Drosophila melanogaster: one gene and its partner. The protein of the gene in region 1 interacts with the protein of each later gene in a pairwise test. Each region holds a gene or a part of one and is shown on either strand. Other genes may lie near its edges.

What was found.
Region 2: the proteins of Sk2 (region 1) and CG31482 interact in a two-hybrid assay, tested with the Drosophila melanogaster proteins (one large-scale study listed by BioGRID).

What each region holds. Positions count from the first base shown.
Region 1 is NT_037436.4:3,039,870-3,050,659, reverse strand, and holds Sk2 (sphingosine kinase 2), read right to left. Parts: upstream 3,574-10,790; 5' UTR 3,471-3,573; coding exon 2,494-3,470; intron 2,015-2,493; coding exon 1,006-2,014; 3' UTR 501-1,005; downstream 1-500. Other genes in the region: CG32485 (uncharacterized protein), read right to left, coding at 1-121; scramb2 (scramblase 2), read left to right, coding at 3,909-4,023, 4,444-4,937, 5,529-5,687, 5,791-5,814; Prx4 (peroxiredoxin 4), read right to left, coding at 6,705-6,755, 6,814-7,219, 7,271-7,388, 7,455-7,608; CG2162 (uncharacterized protein), read right to left, coding at 10,684-10,733.
Region 2 is NT_033777.3:6,596,318-6,604,806, reverse strand, and holds CG31482 (uncharacterized protein), read right to left. Parts: upstream 3,566-8,489; 5' UTR 3,498-3,565; coding exon 3,456-3,497; intron 3,398-3,455; coding exon 3,269-3,397; intron 3,212-3,268; coding exon 2,895-3,211; intron 2,842-2,894; coding exon 2,742-2,841; 3' UTR 2,606-2,741; downstream 1-2,605. Other genes in the region: CG1138 (uncharacterized protein), read left to right, coding at 6,871-7,743.

The DNA of each region.
Region 1 (10,790 bases):
AGCGACGCAGCGAAAAGTCATTGTGATACTGCTTTGGATCCGCCTCCACAATCAATTTCATGCGCTCCTTGAGATCCTTGAAGTCCTGCTCGTTAATTGGCGCCAGCTCCTCGGACGACATATTGTAGAGCACGAATCGCTTCCTGACCGGAATGCAGACTGGGATTCCGTGCTGGAGAGTCGCGGACTGGAATCGGAATGTGCTGACACTATGTGAAATGCAAGCAGCGCTGTTTATTTTTACTCGGAAATGTTTTTTCACAAACGGAACGGATTTGTTTTTTTCTTTTTTTTCGACCAGTGTGACCGGCTGAAACTCTCTAAAAGCTGTCATTTGCGTTCCACAACAATACTAAATGCAAGCACGAAATACCGAAAAATTACCGTTATTGGTTGGAACCGTTACATTTTAATAAAAGCTTTAATTGATAATAAATTTTGAAAAATATTTTAAACTATATAGTAAAGAGAAGAAAACAAATTGAAACAGAGCTGAAATTAGTTAACATTTTTATTTTTTATTTCAAGCTCAAAGATGTTATATTCTTAACTTCCTACTTTAAAATATGGAATTGTAAATGATTTAGCTCTGTTACTTACACTGTTACTTTCTAAGATTTTTGAATTCATGAAGATTTATTTGTATTCATCTTTAAACATTTTGAATATATATCTCATTTCGTTACACAGTTTAAAAAAAAAAAGAACAAAATAAATAAGACTTTCATCGCTATTTTGAACAGCCGAGATAAAAATAAATTCACGTGCACTTCATATGGCACACGTTTTATAAACAAACATGTTAGATATTTCGGAAATAGCTGTTATTGTGTTTAAAATGTTAACAATACATGATTGGTTGGCAGAAGCAGGCCACAAAAACACGAAATATGTAGAATGCACAACTCTCTCATATCGGCCACCTGGGACCCTAAGTATTAGCTACAAATGCAGAGATTCCAAAATTGAGATTTCTATTGCTTGATGGTCTTCAGTAAGCTCCTCCTACTTGGGCACCATGACGCGGGCTATGCCCGGCAGGACCTCAGCTTGGAGGGGCCCGAACTCGACGCGCTCGCCGTCGACCGTGATGATGCCGTGATTGTCGTAGGGCTCCAGGCGGAATGCTCGCACTGGCAGCACCTTCACATGGTCGTCGTGCGACTCCGGCAGGTGAGTGCCGGAGCTCATGTTGTAGAGGAAGCTCAGCAGGTGCGGGCGGCTGATGCCGGCGCGTATGAGGATCAGGTAGATGGTGCCGTCGTTCAGCTGGGCCTTGGGCGCAAAATGACAGTCGATGCCCAGATGGGTCTGGTAAACGGCGTGCATCATGACGAACTCGCCCTCCTCCACCAGCCAACCCTGATCCTCGGACAGCGGTTCGTTCAGATCCGGCAGCTCGCTTGCCGGACCGTAGTTCTGCTGCCGGTTTTCCAGCGAGGCGGCCGCCAGGCCGGCGAACTCGCTCTCATCCGCCAGACTGTGGTAGATGCTCTCCGATATGGAATAGTAAAAGCTGCGCCGCGATCCCCCCGACAACCAGCTGTCGCACCTCGAGCGGAACGACTGATTGATGGACGTCTCCAGGGAGATCACGTCCGCAAACTCCTGTGGCAGGTACTCGGCACTGGAATGATAGATGGGCGCCGGCCCATTTAGCATGTCGATGTGCGTGTTGCAGCTACGGCTGCTCTGCATTCTCCGCTGGGCAGCATAACCGGTAGCGCTATGGGTTGAGGACACCTCATGGTCCGTCAGAAGATAGCTGATTCGGCCGTTGTAGGTGCGCAGATTCACCAGACGGTAGAGGGTCCACACGGTGAAGCGCTGGTAGCCCAACATGCGAATGCGCTCGCTCTCGATGTCCACGTCCGAGATCAGACCCCAGCCGATGGACAGGAAGGAGTAGAGGGAGCGACTCTGCAGCTGCACCCGGACCACGTCCATGGGTGAACTGCGTCCACTGATTACGGTCAGAGCAGCTCCTAGCACTGGCTTGCTGAAGTATGGTTCGCTGGGGAGAAAGGTTTCAAGTGAATAGGTTTCAACACAAGACTGATAATCGGATTACGACCAATAGATCGGATATGAGACACCTGAATGTGGTTTTAAAGTCTATAAACATTCTTTTCTATTACCCTTTTTATACTCTTTTATCGGGAAGTTGAGCTATAGATGAACATAAAGAAAGAACATAAAGATTTCAAAGTTCGATGATATGCCACTAAATGTTGAACGAAATTGGGGGGCAATTACTTAACGATGTGGAAAGTTTGTTCTAGTCTGACGTCAATTTAACTTTAAGGGGATATCCCCACTTGCAAAACAACAAAACCATTTGACACGATAAGAAAACTACTTTTGCTTATGAATGTAATCTAATGATAAACTGCATGGCTAGACGCTGGAGGGATTGTTTTACACGAAATATGAAGATCCACATAAGTCAAAAGGGGGTTTTTCCTAATGAAACATGAAACAAAGATAACATACTTGTAACAATGGGCAATGGAGCGGGCCAATCCATTTCCGGAGCCGCAAGGAATGATTCCCAGTGCCAGATGAGGCAGGACGTGGGCCCAGTCCTGGCGCTGCAGCAGTCCATTGACTATCTCGTGGAAGAGACCGTCTCCGCCGACAGCCACCACGCAGCACCAGGCGTCCAGGCACCTGGTGCTCAAGAACTCGATGGCAAAGTTGGAATGCTTGGTTACATACAGGTCGTAGGGCACCTCGGCCTCGTTGAGCACCGGCGTCACGTGCATGTTGAAGACCTCACGAGCGTCACCGGAACCGGATTTGGGATTCAACAGCACAAGCACTCGACGGCGTCGCTCATCCACCGTCGGCGCCACAAAGATCTCCTCCAGCGTGCGATGCAACTGCCAGCGAAGGGATCTGTACCAACGATCCGCCTCCCTCATGTTGTCCTCGAAGGTGTCGAACGACCGGAAGCGCAGAGTGAGCACCGTTCGCTCCCGGTGCAACTCCGACCGCAGGCTCCTCTTCTTCAGAACATAGGCAAAAACGTAGAGAAACGCGCTGACATCGCCGCCATCCGAAGGAATATTATCCCGACTATTGGTGCTGCATTTGCTTGGTGTGGTGGCAGGGCGATGGTGATCGCCGGACGCCGAGATGGCTGGCGAATTGGGATTACCGGAGCTGCACGCACAGGCGCCCGACATCGCCAGGCGCCGGCTCTTCTTGGGCCGCATGCAGCGGGCACCCACAATGTCCGATATGCGGACATGTTGCTCCTTAACAATGCTACCGCCCGGCGACTCCCGCTGCAGGGTGAATCCTGTGGCGTCAAGGCGCACCCGAAATACGTGGCTGCCCTTCTTGCGCTGGCTCGTGTAGAAGGTATCGCTCACGTCGTGGCCCTCATCCGCATCCTGCGTTCCCGGGGGCGTGGCCCTGGAACTGGCCGAGCTCGGGCTGGTGGTCTTATCAAGAGATTCGCTCATTTCGACTGGAGATTCGGCTGCCAAGCAGCATGTTTCAGGTCTTTTGTGTCCAGGCTTTTATGGATCGCTTATCATCCAATCATAGCCGCAGTGTTACCGTCGGTGGCAGGCGCGAATATACCAACTGGCACAAATAAACTCAAAATTCTTAGAACTTAAAGAGGCTAGCTTAAGGAAACTATTGCAATACAATGCAATAATACAAATGAATCCACAAAAACGTCAGCTCATAACAAATTTAACTTGTCACTGCATTGAGTGCTGAAAGCTTTTTGTTGATATTTTTCTGTGTTCGAATAAATACCAAAATATATGACAGAATATTTCGTACGGTGCATTTGCGTTGCATTTTTCGGCGTTCGCAACGCGGTCACCCTGCATTTAGTGTTTTGTGAACTGTTAAAGAATCCGATACGAATTTAATTGCTGGGAATAACAATGATGCAGATGAGCGAGTACAAGGTGCTCCCGCAGAATGCACCGCAGGACGAGAATGGCGCAGTGGTCCTGCAGCCGCAGGCGGCGAATGTTGGCAACAATGCCAACGGACCTGGTGCGTAGCGATGGACATATATGGATTTGTCCACTGTTGAATTCCATCACTCGGATGGACCTAGTCGGTTGCGCGCGTCTGTGTGGGCTAGTGGGCGTGTGCGAAAGGCGGAAATGCCGTCGTCTCTTTCTTGGCATTTAGTACAGCAGCGGGCATGGCAATAGCACCCATAGTTATCTATGTAAAAAAGATATTTTATAATGTACCAAAAAGTGAAGTGATTCCAAGTCAATACGTAAATACATATTGTTTAAAATATTAGTTTATGTTAAGAACTGCTATCACTGGCCCTAATCGCCTGACCGCCATTGTAGCTATGCTAATTTCCTTTACCCATGCATAGATATCGGAAAAGCACTTTATGCATATAGATAAATATAAATACATAGGGAGCTAATCCGGAACAACGCCCCATTGCAGAAAACTGGATGTCGATACCCGTGGGCATGCCCAACTGCCCGCAGGGACTGGAATACCTGACCGCTCTGGACCAGTTGCTCGTGTCGCAGAAGATCGAGAAACTGGAGCTGCTCACCGGCTTCGAGACGAAGAACCGCTTCAAGGTGAAGAACTCACTGGGCCAGAATGTGTACTTCGCGTACGAGGAGAGCGACTGCTGCACCCGCAACATGCTCGGCCGGTCGCGCCCCTTCGAGATGAAGATACTGGACAATTTTCAGAACGAGGTGCTCCACCTGTACCGGCCCTTCAAGTGCGACATCCTCTGCTGCTTTCCCAGCTGCATGAACGCCGTGGAGGTGTCGGCGCCACCCGGCCAGGTGATCGGTAGCGTTGAGCAGGTCTGCACCTTCATGCGGCCCAAGTTCAACATCAAGAACACATGCGGCGATACCGTCCTGCAGATCGAGGGACCCGTCTGTCCCTGCAAGTGCTTCAGCGATACCAACTTCAAGGTCAGTACGCAGCCAACAAGTGGTTATTCTTGGCTCTCGATCTCGATTCCCAATGCCCAAACAAGTGTATACACACACAGCAGCGGTCAGCGGATTAGCTTTAAATTCTTCGGAGGAGTACATATGTATGGTCTTCATCAGTCAAAGACGAAGCTTTATAAAATTCCAAAATGAACAGTATCAGGCGTCCACTTAATTGCTTTTTTAATTATTAAACATTTATAAGTGCCTATATACATATATTCTAAATAATTATGAACAGACAGAAGCGTTCAAATTAATAGCACCCACACTAGTTTTAAATTTTCAATTGTATACGTTATTTAACAGATGCCTCTAGATATAGGAAAATCAATCAATCAATTTATACTTTTTATGGCTAAAATGCACCAAGTGTTTGTGCCGATCTATGAGCCCTTTTACTGACCGCTGCTGTGATCGTACAGAAGCAAAGAGACTGCAGTCCGAGGCAGTGACGTCATGGTTAGCCATGCCTGACTGTCCAGAGCGAGTCAATTAATTGCGATGCCGCGAACTGCGAACCGATTAATGCGAAACGCAAACATCTCTCGCCCCTTTAACCGCGCACAGGTATTGAGCGCCAACAACGAGGAGATCGGCAAAATCAGCAAACAATGGTCCGGACTGGGAAGGGAGCTGTTCACCGATGCGGACTACTTCAGCGTCACCTTCCCCCTGAATCTGGATGTCCGCATGAAGGCGCTCATATTCGCAGCGCTCTTTTTGATTGTGAGTATATCAGTATATCATATATATCACTGAGTGAAATAAAGCATATGCCAGTGCTATATACTCGTTTCCCTTCATTGATTTGTGTTTGTCTTAATTCCAGGACGCGGTTTACTACGAGCAGTAGGCTGTATGATGAATCGCATTCTAAAGGAACAAACGCCCAAACATTATAATCGCCGACTGCTTTTTGGTTCGACGTGTTGCATGGTCATAGCTCTAAGAACTTTTTAACCCCTTATTTGATTAACGTTTCCGGGAATCTGAACAGTGCAACGCTTTGATCGATACGGAATCTCCGCAGCAAAGGAATCTCCCGCACAACTTGGATCTGAACCGCAGTTGCACCTTCGTTATTTTATGAACCTCGGTTTTGGCATTTAAAGCTCACCACAATGAAGCACTTACTGACAAACGCACAAAACGGAAAACAGAAAGCAGACTACACACGAAGAATCCGACGAGAACGAGTGCCTTATGACGTCCTAGTTATTGTCGTCGCCCCCGTCCCGTTTCCCCAGATTTATATACCTCGACAGACCTAGCTTTGTTGTACGCATAGGTCGGAGCACAGGATAACTTAATTGCAACCATGGCGTACCTAACTAATTTACTATTACCTTTTACCTACTACATATTACATATTACATATATTTTTGTATGAAACTAATTGCAATCGAATTGTTACCCATTAGAGTGGCCTAGTGAGCCAGCTTTCAAGGCATTTTGAGATCGAAAACATCTCCTCCTTTTTGGTACCGCTCCTGTGGCGCCGCGCAATTTTCATCACCTTCACATGTACTTCATGAATTTATTTATATCTCAGTTATGCTGTAAAATAAACAAACTATGTTTTGTACAAAGCAAATGCGAAATATTCACAATCGGTGGCATTGCGGATTTGGATTTTCTGTACAGAGGACTCTAGCGATTGTTCGTTTGCATCGTGATTCAGTCGTGAACATTAGGAATGTAACTGGGCTAGGCTACTAAGGTAATGTGCATCTCTATCTGTCCCTAGTTGTTCTTGGCAAAGTACTTCGTCTTCTCCTCAGGATTGGGAACGATCTGTAAAGGTAATGGTATCAAAAAGAATTTACCTAAGGCAATGCTTCAAAAAACCTACCGTATCGGCACCTGGCCGCCAACCTGCTGGGCAAACCTCTCCATGGGTGTCCGTATACTGGAAGGCCTGAACCAGACGAATAGTCTCGTCCACAGAGCGTCCCACGGGCAAATCATTCATGGTGATCTGTCGCAGCACTCCGGTCTGATCGATAATGAAGAGACCGCGCAGCGCATGACCGCTGGACTCCAAGTAGACTCCGTAGTCCTTGCTGATCTTATGCGTTAGATCGGAGAGCAGTGGGATCTTCACGTCGCCCAGGCCGCCCTCCTTGCGCGGCGTGTTTATCCAGGCCAAGTGGGTGAAGTGCGAGTCCACGCTGACGCCAATCACCTCGGTCTTGATCTTCTTGAACTCGGCGATGCGGTCGGAGAAGGCAATGATCTCCGTTGGGCATACAAAGGTGCTAAAATGGCAATGAGAAATGCGATCATACTAAATGTAAATGTAAACTTACAAGTCCAGTGGGTAGAAGAGTAGCACCACATATTTCCCTAGATACTGGGACAATGATAGCTTCACAATCTCCTTATTAACCACGGCGGTGCCCTCGAACTGCGGAGCTGGCTTGGAAACTGGGGAAATAAGGGTAGCAGCAACTTAATAGTGATCCCTGGTTTTTTGCATCCAATGGAACTCACTGACTGCCTTGGTGTACTGCAGCTGATGGTCGCCCTTCGGCTGGTCGGGATAAACGGAGCCGCCGGCGAAGGAATAGCACGATTCATTATCTTCCGGCTTGGCAGCTCCAACGAGTGCCGCGGACAGCAGTAGGACAGATAAGTACTTGGACATGATTGGGCTGAAACGAGATCCACGTACGTATATGGCTATTGGATTCGGTTTATACGCTATTTATTACACGCGGCCTTTACAATTATTGCCGCTCTTTATATTTATAATAAATCTGTGTACAGTGGTCGCCCAACTATCTTTAATTTTGTAAATTATGTAAAGATATATAATTTTGAATGTTAATTAGGAACAAAACTAAACTTCAAAGAAAAGATACTCCTTCTATGTACTAAATCCTTGTTCCGTCCGTGTCAGCCAGTCTCTACTGTACGCACATACCCAAAATTCGAACACGCCCACAACTTGTAGCCACGCAGTCAAAAAAGTAACTATTTCAACGGGCAGAACTTCAATTGATTTTGGTGGAACGCGCTTATTGTTGCTGCGCTTCCGAAAAGATAAGCTTATCAATTTCATTCACTTCACTGCTATTATAATTTATAGTTGTCAGCGTGTAACCGATTTAAACAAATATAGTTTACAAAACTACTAAAATTCCAATGCCAATGCGATTGCCTAGCTCCGATTTGAATATTTATTTTTAGTTGCAGGGTAGTTAACTTGCTTGCATTAAGCAACAATGCAAACGCACAGCTGTTACCTTTTAAGCGCTATAATTAACTCTTTTTGTTTTAATAACAAATTGTTCTGCCGGCATTGGTGTGACCGTAATACGCAAAAATACCATACTGTCGTTCCGACACCAATGCATAGTTCAGCATTGCCAACATAAATTTCATTATGAAATATTTGAATTTTCATTTCATATTAACGCGTAACTGCAATTTTGAAAGAATATTATTTTAGAAAAAATATCTGTGCTGCATTGGCGAATCAAAAGCGATGTATGGCCATGCTATGATCTATCCAATTTTTTTTAAGTAAAAAACACTTTCTCAGTTAACTTTTACTTACGCTATAAACTTTATTAAAATATATACAGTTTGTCAAGAAACTGTTTACACACTGTGAAATAAGTTGAATTTTTGACTTTAAAGCTAAAAATAAAGGGTTTTTTGCTTAATTAAACGCAATTTTTTTATAAAATATAATTAAACAATATTTATTTTACTTATAAATCAAAAAACAAATTAAAAATATTAAATATACAAGAAAATAAACAACAAATTCCAAGTTTACACACTTTTGAGACTGTCAAGAAACTCTTTACACATTTTGTTTTCCTACTTTGTTTTGTTCTTTTTCTTAGAACGAACTCGATTTTTCCGTTATTTTTGGCTTTGCATTGCTTTTTACAACGCTTCTATTGAAATTTTGTTGACTTTGCTTGTGAAATTTTGCTGATCAAACGTGCTTAAAGCGAATTATTAAATTTAATAAAATGCCTGGAAAGAGATTAACTTTTGAAGTTACCCAATTAATAAACTATAACCACCAGTTGGGAAAATCTTTTCCAGAATTAGTATAAATGTTTCCTGTATCCCGTAAGACCGTCTACAATGTTTTAAAAGGCTCGGAAAAAGAGGGCAGGCTTGAACCTAAGAGCGGTGGTGGGCGGAAAATTAAAATTAAAAAGCGTGTAGACCGCTTTATTATGCGAATAGTGATTGCGAACCCCCGAATCTCGGTCAGATCACTTGCTCTGGATATCAGGCAAGAATGCCACCTAACTGTGTCACACGAAACTGTGCGCCAAGTCATCCTACGCCATAGGTACTCTTCAAGATTTGCAAGGAAAAACCCTTTGCTATCAGATGCCAATATGGAAAAGCGTCATTAATTCGCTGTGAGCATGATGGATCATGCGGAAGAGTACTGGGATGACGTCATATTTTGTGACGAAACAAAAATGATGCTCTTTTATAACGACGGGCCAAGCAGAGTATGGCGCAAACCGTTGAGTGCGCTAGAAAAACAAAATATCATTCCAACGATAAAATTTGGAAAAATGTCACTGATGGTTTGGGGCTGTATCACCAGCCGTGGAGTGGGAAAACTAGCCTTAATTGAGAGCACAATAACTGCCGTGCAATATCTAGAAATGTTAAAAAACAAATTTGAAGGCCAGTGCAGAAAAATTCGGTCTAGTTAGCAACAACAAGCCAAATCTTAAGTTTTACCAGGACATGATCAGAAACATAAAGAGTGCAATGTACGCACCTGGCGCCTTAATAACTGTGGTAAAGTGATCGATACGCCCCCTCAGAGTCCTGATCTGAACCCCATTGAAAATTTGTGGACCTACTTAAAGAAGAAGGTGGCAAAAAGGGACCTAAAACACAACAACAGCTTATGACTGTAATAGTCGAAGAGTGTGAAAAGATCCCGTTTGAATATGACCTGCAAAAACTTGTCCAATCCATGAAAAAAAGGCTTCAACTTGTAGCTAAAGCCAATGGGGAACATACTACATACCAAAACTTTTAAAATTTTAATAAAATAATTAAAAAATTTAGGATTAAACTTCGATTTAGTGTTTTGTGTAAAGAGTTTCTTGACAGTCTCAAAAGTGTGTAAACTTGGAATTTGTTGTTTATTTTCTTGTATATTTAATATTTTTAATTTGTTTTTTGATTTATAAGTAAAATAAATATTGTTTAATTATATTTTATAAAAAAATTGCGTTTAATTAAGCAAAAAACCCTTTATTTTTAGCTTTAAAGTCAAAAATTCAACTTATTTCACAGTGTGTAAACAGTTTCTTGACAAACTGTATATCAATATATAAATTGCTCGCGCTTAAAAATTAGGTTTACGGCTGGAGTTAAAACAACACGTACACGCGTCTCTCTGCACGTTTAATTGCTACGACCAATAAATATAGATATTTCTCTCTTACGGCCTAGATGATATAATATGCATTGCATCCTCTAAAAACTACAACAAATTGAGCAAAAGTCTGTGTTAATTTCACAAAAAGCGAACATTAAAAGTACATTGCTTAGCATGCGAATTACTCATTTACTGTGTTAGCTTTGATTGAGAATTGTTTTTGTGGGCGTTAATGGTGGTGTTTCTTGTTGTCGATCCACATGGTGTTGTGTTTGCTGCCGCATTTATTGCAGATGAGAAAAGGGTGAGAAAAATGCACCTGGCCTTCTTCCGGGCCGCGGTCTAGCTCTCCCAGACTTCGTCCCGCTGTTTGGCAGCTAGCAGTTTGCGTTCTGAATAAAAAGATAAGGCAGATTAATAAAAGACCAAGGGAAGGCAGCGCCAATGAT
Region 2 (8,489 bases), on another chromosome or scaffold:
GCAACGCTGATAGCCAAACGAGGGGTGCGGACCCATATTAATTTCTGCTATCTCGGCGACGCTTTACATGCGTACTGCAAATGCTGTTGTGCGCGCAGTTCTGGCAATAAATTTGATTTGTTTAGCAATTTGTTGCATATCGCATTGCGCATACGCCCTGTACATCCATCTCGCCGTCCGCCGCTGTCGTCATCGCTCTAGCCTTCAGTCGCTTTAACGATGAATAACGCTCTTTTCTGGTTTTCCCCTTGTTTTTGTTCCGCCACCAGCCAGTCGTCTATTTGTTGTTCGGTGTTTTCATGTTCCGGGTACATGCGACATTTTATCCACTCCCATTGGCAATAATTTATATTGAAATGTCAGTGCAACTGCTGCAGTCTCTCAATCTGAATAGAGGGTGTGATTGCATTAGTTGCCAGTACCGCATTTAATATTTGGCCAAAGTTATTACGCGTCGCGAAAAGTAAATTAACTTTTGGCCGCAGTGCTATTTTATTAAAAAGAGAATATTGTAAATGGTCTGAATGGGCCATAGATTTCAGTCTGCCCTTCTCGATTGGTGACACTTGCAACCAACTAGCCCGGGCCCTTTAAGTATCCCTTAGCACGCTATCGATGAAAGTTGGTGGCATCTTTGCGTGCACTTTATAATTAATAACAATTTAGCATGCACTTAATTTTAATTATTACTCAATTAGGTCAGCGCCATTATAATTTAAGCACCCGGCACACTGCAGATAATTAAGAGAGGGCGAAATTAAACAATTTCCAGCCCCGCGAATGAAGTTCTGCCAACGAGACACAACGCTCCGCGACTTGGCTTCGTCCTTTTCCGGAGTGGCGCCTCCGTGTTTCCGTTCTGTCTGTGGGCTAGGTCATTAGGGATGGTTTGTGTGTAAATTTGATTTCACAACATTTTCTCAGTGCGTCGCTCCAACTTTCGGCCTTTACGATGCACATAAATATTACGACCAAGTTCAAGTTGTAAATAGTTGACAAACTCGGCTATCCGTCGAACCCAAACCATAATAGAGTGGTGATGGGGAGCATTTTATAAGTGCCCGAACTAAAGGACATTCGAAAGATAGTTATTCAGCCCTCAAAAGCAAACGCATTAAAGGTATGCATAAAAAATACAGTTTTCCAAATGACACACATTTTTCACACTATTTTCTTTAAGAAGTGTACCAATTTCCAACTTTCAAATCCGTATAGAATTTCTGCTTTCATTACATTTAACACTCAACCAGACGTCAAAGAAATATCTGGGGAACATGCATCCCTAGACGCTGTGATCTATAATTCCATTAATTTTTGTGCAAGGTGTTCCAATTGAAACCGACCAGAGATGGAAGCAATTTGAATGTCATTAGGTGGACCCACGCACGGCGCAGCCACCCAGAAAGCGAGGCTAAGTAAGACACAAACAAAAAGACATTCGACTCCATATCTGATTGAATAATAATGAGTGCTTAAGGATTTAATGCGCTCCCGGCAGCTGCTGAGCCCCAGACATCGACTTCCACTTGGGAACAGACATGTAGGAAACAAAGCTTGAAATAAAATAGCGCTCTAGTTGATTGCACCGACTTATAGATACCCAGTACGTGGTAGGTACCACCCCAAAAGGTGCATAAGTCACCCATTTTGACTTAGTGGTAAAGTAATGTGATATAATTCATAAAAATGATTACAATTTATATAATTTTATAAATATATTAAGCCATCTAAAACTTGTTAAGGATTGAGATAGTAGAAGGGTATAAACAGCCAACCGAGACAGTATACCTAATTCTTTTCCGCCACTTTGTTGACACCGGCATAGTCAATGGGGAATTCCTTTCGGCTGATGCTGATTGCCAAAAAAGATAAAAATAAATGCGGAAAGAAAAAGGCCAGAACAACCCGCGCCTAGTGAAAAAAAAAAACTGAATATCCCTATCGCACGAATTCAAATTAACCCAACATACTCACACGCCCACCAGTGCTGTGTCGTCTTAGATTGGATTTCTATAGCTGTAGTAATAGCTGTTTCAAATAATATAAATTTTAACACATTTTATACCCGTTACTCGTAGAATTAAGTAGAATACACTAGATTCGTTAAAAAGTATGTCAAGGAAGTATGTAGAAGGAAGAGTTTCTGACCGTATAAAGTATATTTATTCTTGATCAGGATCATGTCCGTCTGTCTGGTCGTTCGTATGACCGTCGAAATTTCAGGAATTATATAAGCTATAAGGTTAAGATAAAGCATACAGATTCTAAAGCACAAGTTTGTTCATCCATGCAGCCACGCCTTCCCATTAAATTCTCCAATATCTATCGATATGCCAGAAAATTATGAAATATCACGTTCTCACTGCCAGCAGCTGAGTAACGGGTATTAGATAGTCGGGGAACTCGACTATAACATTCTCTCTTTTTTTTAATTCAAAATATTTCATGCATTTAAATAGTTTTTGTAAATGCCAAACACCCCAGTGTTAAGGCAGCACTCCCCAGTTTCGATCATTAAATATCGTGTGCTGTTTTAATATCTTCCTGGTGAACTACAAGTTGCAAGCAACTAGATAGAATGGTTTTACATAACTAACAATGGCATATTCACCAAACTTCCAAAAAGTGAAATTTATTATTGGGTACAGAGTAGTTTCAAATATCAGTAATTGGTTTTTCAAATTGCTTAACTACAAATTTACAAGAACTGCGGCACAAAAACTTCAAAGTGATAATGACCCTCAATTTGTGAATTGCCAGCATAACCAAAGCATGACTATGATGGGAATATTGTCAACTTGAAATCTATTCAAATTGCCTTGACCATTTTCATCACCTTCCCTGCAATGAAATAAAATGAAAGAAAAAACTACAGATGTAATTAATTTGCTTACCCTTTGATCGGCGGAAGAACATTTTCTTCGAACTGCCCGTTCACATTGACTGGTGGATAATATCTTGCTACCACCCAGTAGTAACCCTTTTTGTCCTTGGCTTGCCCAATACCCATTTTTTTCGCATTCTTCCAAACGAGGGCGGTGAAATGACCCGTTGACATTGCAAACTGTGGCTTTTCAAAGTCGTAGTCCGCGATTTCGTCGTACCAGTCTTGAACACATTGCAGAGGGGTTTGTGACCGCATGCACAAGTTTTCACCATAGTTTTGACCGGCAGAACTTGAATGCTCTAACTTTTCATTATTGGCTAGCACCTGTTCGAGGGTATTAAAAGTGTAAAAAGGTAACATTGTTATTAACCAACGAAATACTTTAGCATATTCTTCGCATCCCTTTGTGAGTTCATCGTCCAAGGTCAGAGGCGGACTTCCATGCTTCTCCCTCAACCGATTGTGTTCATTTAGATGGTCCTCCTGAAGATCAGCTATAACCAACACCAACTAGAATACAGGAGAATAAATCAGATTTCATTTAAAATTACTAAATATTTAATTATACCAAACATAGAGCCAAAACAATCAATATGTTCACCAAAAACATGTTTTTTTGAGAATAACTATAGCACGAAAACTTTGACAAACTTATCTAGGATTCTGATTGCTTTAAAGACCTCGAAATTCTGGTGACGTAATTTAAAAGTTACTTAAATTGTAATTAGTTTGGTGTACCTATAAAGCGTATGGAGGATCCCTTAATTAATACAGTTTTTAGTCCGTGCACTTCTCATGCAGTTTGTATCATTTGTACATGAGTATCGTTCCAAAAATCTACTAAAATATGAAGTTGACTTTAGATTCGGACATAATGCATGGAAAGCTGAGTATCAAAACCAATCTCAAAAGAAACACAAATTAGACGAGGGTTAAATTTTGTTTGTCTACTTAGAAGTCTAACTTTGTGTTAAAGGAGCTGATTATTTTTAAAAATAAACCTATAGTTCTAGTGACTCTTACTGATAGGGGTTTTTCCATATCAAAAAAGTCTAGTTGCCTCAAAACTGATGCTTCCGCGGCAATTTGCTTGTTGTGTTGACAGCTGGCCTGAGGTTTCATGCTTTTTGCATTAGGGTACTGACAGATGACTTCACAGAGACACTGAAAACCAGAACGAGGAAAAGCACAATATTTTTTCGGACATTTTTTAATATATTTTGTATGGCGTATGTTTTAAAACTTATATGCAGTTTTATTTTTGTACACCACTTTTGTTTGGGAAATGCGAATAGAAATTTCTCTGTATCAAACGGGCGAACAGACTTATTGGGGGTGCAGTGTGCAATTATTTTGAGCGAGTAACCGCCACCAGGCCAAAGGATAATGCGATGAGTTCTGATCGCCAGCAACAACGGACCAGCTCCAATGGAGCCACGCCCCAGCCAGATATTAAATTTTCGCTGTTGCTCCATGGAGCTGTGGCAATAAAGGTTTGGCTTTGCCAACCATGTGCGAGGGCACTTTGAGGAGGGACGAGCTCTGGCTCCCACACATGTGGCTGATGCCTTGGGCCATCATCGTTGACAACAATATCAGTGGCTTTCGAAACAGCGGCAGCCGCAGGAGCAAAAAAGCAGCTGGAACACGGACTAGTGGAACTTACTTTGTCCTCTGCGTGGCTTTGGTTTCTGGTTTTTGGCTGTAAAATGTCAATTTGGGCCCGTGACGAAGATTTATTGTGCGCGTGTTTGATAGGCGCGCTTAAATATCCCATTCAGCACACATATTTCCACTATCAATTTCGATGGCACCAGCATGAGCATAATCTGGTTCGTCACTGGTGATGGCACCTCTGCTGTTTTCAAAACTTAGGAATGGAAATGATCAGCGTGAAATCTAGGTTTTGTACGCAACACAAAATCATTCACAAAAATAAGGTTTTTGGTACTATGGGTATTACAGATGATTTCACTGCACTGCAATTTATGCAATTTAAAAATTAAATTTATTCAGGGCTTAACAAATAAGAATACTAGTTTTGTATACATTTAGACCTAAATCCAACAACAATTTCAGTACATTCCGCAGGATATATACGATTGCTGCTTATGAATGCAGAACAGTCGCTAAAAAGCCAACGAGTTGACTCGCTGCCAAGAGCAGCATTTAAATGAAAATGGCAAATTCATGCCACATAATGGTTAAACGACATCAGAAGAGCAACACGCAAAGCGTTTATTTTTTCTGAAATTCCAGGCACGCAAGGACAAGCAGCACACACTCAAAATTGTAAGGGAAAACTTGCAATTTATCCATCCGAGTTGCCTCCTGTCACCGGCACCAAGTTGTCCCACTCCTGCCTGGCCGATAACTCAATAGCGTAGCCCGGGGAGCATTGGCATAACTAAACTAATTTCTTTTAATTCAAACACAGCAACTCCGGCCCAACGGCTCTGTTGGACACTGATGGCCAAATGGCTGGGTGTGAAACTTTTATGTCGCCCCCTGCATGGACCTCCGCCCAGGTGGTCTTACCCACCTCCGGGCTCCTGCTTCCCATTGCCCAGTGCCCATTGCCCAATCCATTTCTCCCTGGCGGCAGCCCTGACCGACATTCGATGAATTGACCAACGCAGCTTGTTATTTTTCGTGTGCAACAGCGCGTTTTATTCGCTCCTGGAGGTTATGTGCCCCTCACCCCGTGGCATCTAGATTCAAATCAGAGATGGCACTTACCTATCCTAAGAAATCTTAAAAAAAAAGGTGAGCCAGCTTATTGTAAGCTACCGATTACCATCATTTACAATCAAATTATGAAACTGTCAATGATTTACCCTAATAAACATAAACAATTTTTATTAAGCCATTTAACTAATGGCTAGATTCGCGGAGTTTCATGGGTGATGTAGACATCCAAAACATGTAACATAAATTGGATTTGTCCTGTCTTTCCTGTATATTTATTGGTATTATTCAAGTTTGGTTTTCCTAGTAATAATCTTACAAACACAGGTTCTCTTTGGCATCACTAAGTGGTGGTGGCTTCCAAAGCCGAGTACAGTTCGCCTTTCTTTTATTTCTGGTCAAAACTTTTGCACTGTTTTCACCAGATTCCGCATTCGGGTAGTTGGACAGCTGACGTCTGTTTTTCACCTGCCAGGACCGCCCCACTCGGGCTCAGAATCGGATCCTCTATTTGTTTGCGTATGGGAATCGCCGGTGTCTGTCCATCTGTCTGTGTCAGTGTTTGTGTGCTCGTGAGTTTTGCGAGCAGGTGTGCGTGAGCTTTCGCTGACAATTGTGATTTTAGCAAAGGGTTTTAATTAGATTTCACTTCATTTTCCGCTGTCATTCAGTGAAAAGGAAAGCTTCTGCCTTCCGCAAAATCTATTCAATAATGTGAGCTTACCCATTGAGTGCACACTGCATCCAAACTCTTCTTACATTTTTGGAGTTCAGAGTGTCTAGAACCTGGCTTAAATAACAACATAAGTATGTATTTTCCTTATAATTGTATTTATATATAAATAAGTTTATGTTTTTGCTATTTTATTTGGGACAGTATAGTATCCCAACTTTTTCCGTCTTCATTTTGGTATTTTAAATTCACATTAAGCAGGCTTTTTGTTAGGATTTGAAATTCCGTGAATGGGAGTTGAGCAAATTTTTCAGTGGATTTTCTTGCCGATAACATTTTTATATATTGCGTATATATCTGCGTTGAAGACTGCATTAGTTGTAGTTAAAACTACAAATTAAGGGACGCTTTGAAAAAGGATATAATAATTGCACGTACCCAACTAAAAGATCGAACAAACCCATAGATAGATCGATATATACGATATTTTATCTAAGCCTTCATTGAGATTTGTGTTAGATGATTTGAAAACACTGGAAGTGCTCGTTGTGTACCGAGTTAGTTTCCGTTTTGAAGTTCACAGTTAATTGGATATTGGTTAATTTGGAGGAATGAATTCAAGATGAATTCATTACCAATACTGCAATCAGTGGACCAAAATTTATCGTGCAAGGCAGCAGGAATAAGTAAAATGGAAAACACTAAACCAAATGATAAGAAACTGGCACAATCAAAGTTCGCATTCAAACATAACGGGCCAAAAAAAGTGTTTCACTGCACGATGCAGAGTGTTTTGCAATCCGAAGATTGCTGGATCGCTGAGGAAGTTCTAGAAGAATCAAACGAGAAAAGCAATCTGGAACTCGAAGATATTTACGATGAGGTGTTTCGCTTAAAGCGGCGCGTAAATCGACTCAATTACCAACTAGGTACCAATATACCGGAATGCCCAAAAATAGATCCCTGCCTGGATGATCATATATTTTTGACAAATGTAAAGGAAGTTCATCCCGAAATTCTTCAGCTGAAGTTTGCAAGCCATAAACTACAGCACCAACTGACTCAGATGCAATCCGTCCGAAGATCATCCAATCTGGCCAAAAAACTGGTACGGGATGAATACTGCAGAAGCAAGAAATTAGGGGATCAGTTGCAGATTGAAATTCAAAAACTAGACTCCTTTAAGCTCAAATTCGAAAAACATCAAGGACTATGTCTTCAACGGTTTAGGTTCTTGGACCAAGATAAGTATACTGGCAGGGAGTTCTATGAATTTATAGAAAAAAGTAATGAGATGATAACAACTCAACTTAAAAAGCAGATGTTAAAGAGTGAATACAAACCTTTTCGGAAGGAAGCCGCTAGGGTGACAATCTCTTTAAAAACAGCCGCGGAAAATTTGCAAGATTATCTTTCAAGCGTGATAAATAACAAAAAATGTGAAATCTTCCAGAACGTGAAAAATTCCTGTGTATCCATTCGTTCAGACCTTTAATACTTTTATATTTTTTCGAACTCCGATTCGGCTTACTTCAAGGCGGCACCACGAGCCGCCCAAGCTCTTGTATCACCGGCACACAGACCTACTTAGCTCGTCCACAATAAACCCACAAAGCCCTCTTTAAATTGTTCAATTTGTCAGGATCCACGGGCCGGCCCTCCATATGCGAATTCCTTGATTATGTTGGTCATCGGAGGAGTCGCATCCACGGGACGGCATCTGCCACAAATGGTGGTACCCTAATGTACATTTGACTAGGAAGAGCATGTATTTTCTTACATGCGATGTGTTTCGGCATCCTGTAGGCCAAAAAAGAAAAATAATATAAAAATGTTATAATTTCTATATGTATATACATATATGTATATATATTTTGTACGCAACTGATATATGTAAGAAATTGTATCTATTACGTTTTAAATATATTTACATTAAATATCATTTCTTTCAATACTTTTTTTGCATTCTTACTACTTATTAAGGGTGAACTGTCCTCTTTAATTTGGGTCCATTTTTAAAAGAGCATCCCAATTCTGACGCCCAGGGTCAGGATTTTCTTTTGTCGCTTTCGGTTTTGGTGTTTGTATCTTTGGGTCCAACAACGAAATGTATTTAGCATAAAAATTTACGATAATGAGGACCAGAACAGCAGAGACACAGCGAGCGAGCATCGCCACCATGAGAAAAAAAGCACAAGCAGACAGCGCATCAAATTTCGCATAGGCAAATAGACAAATAAC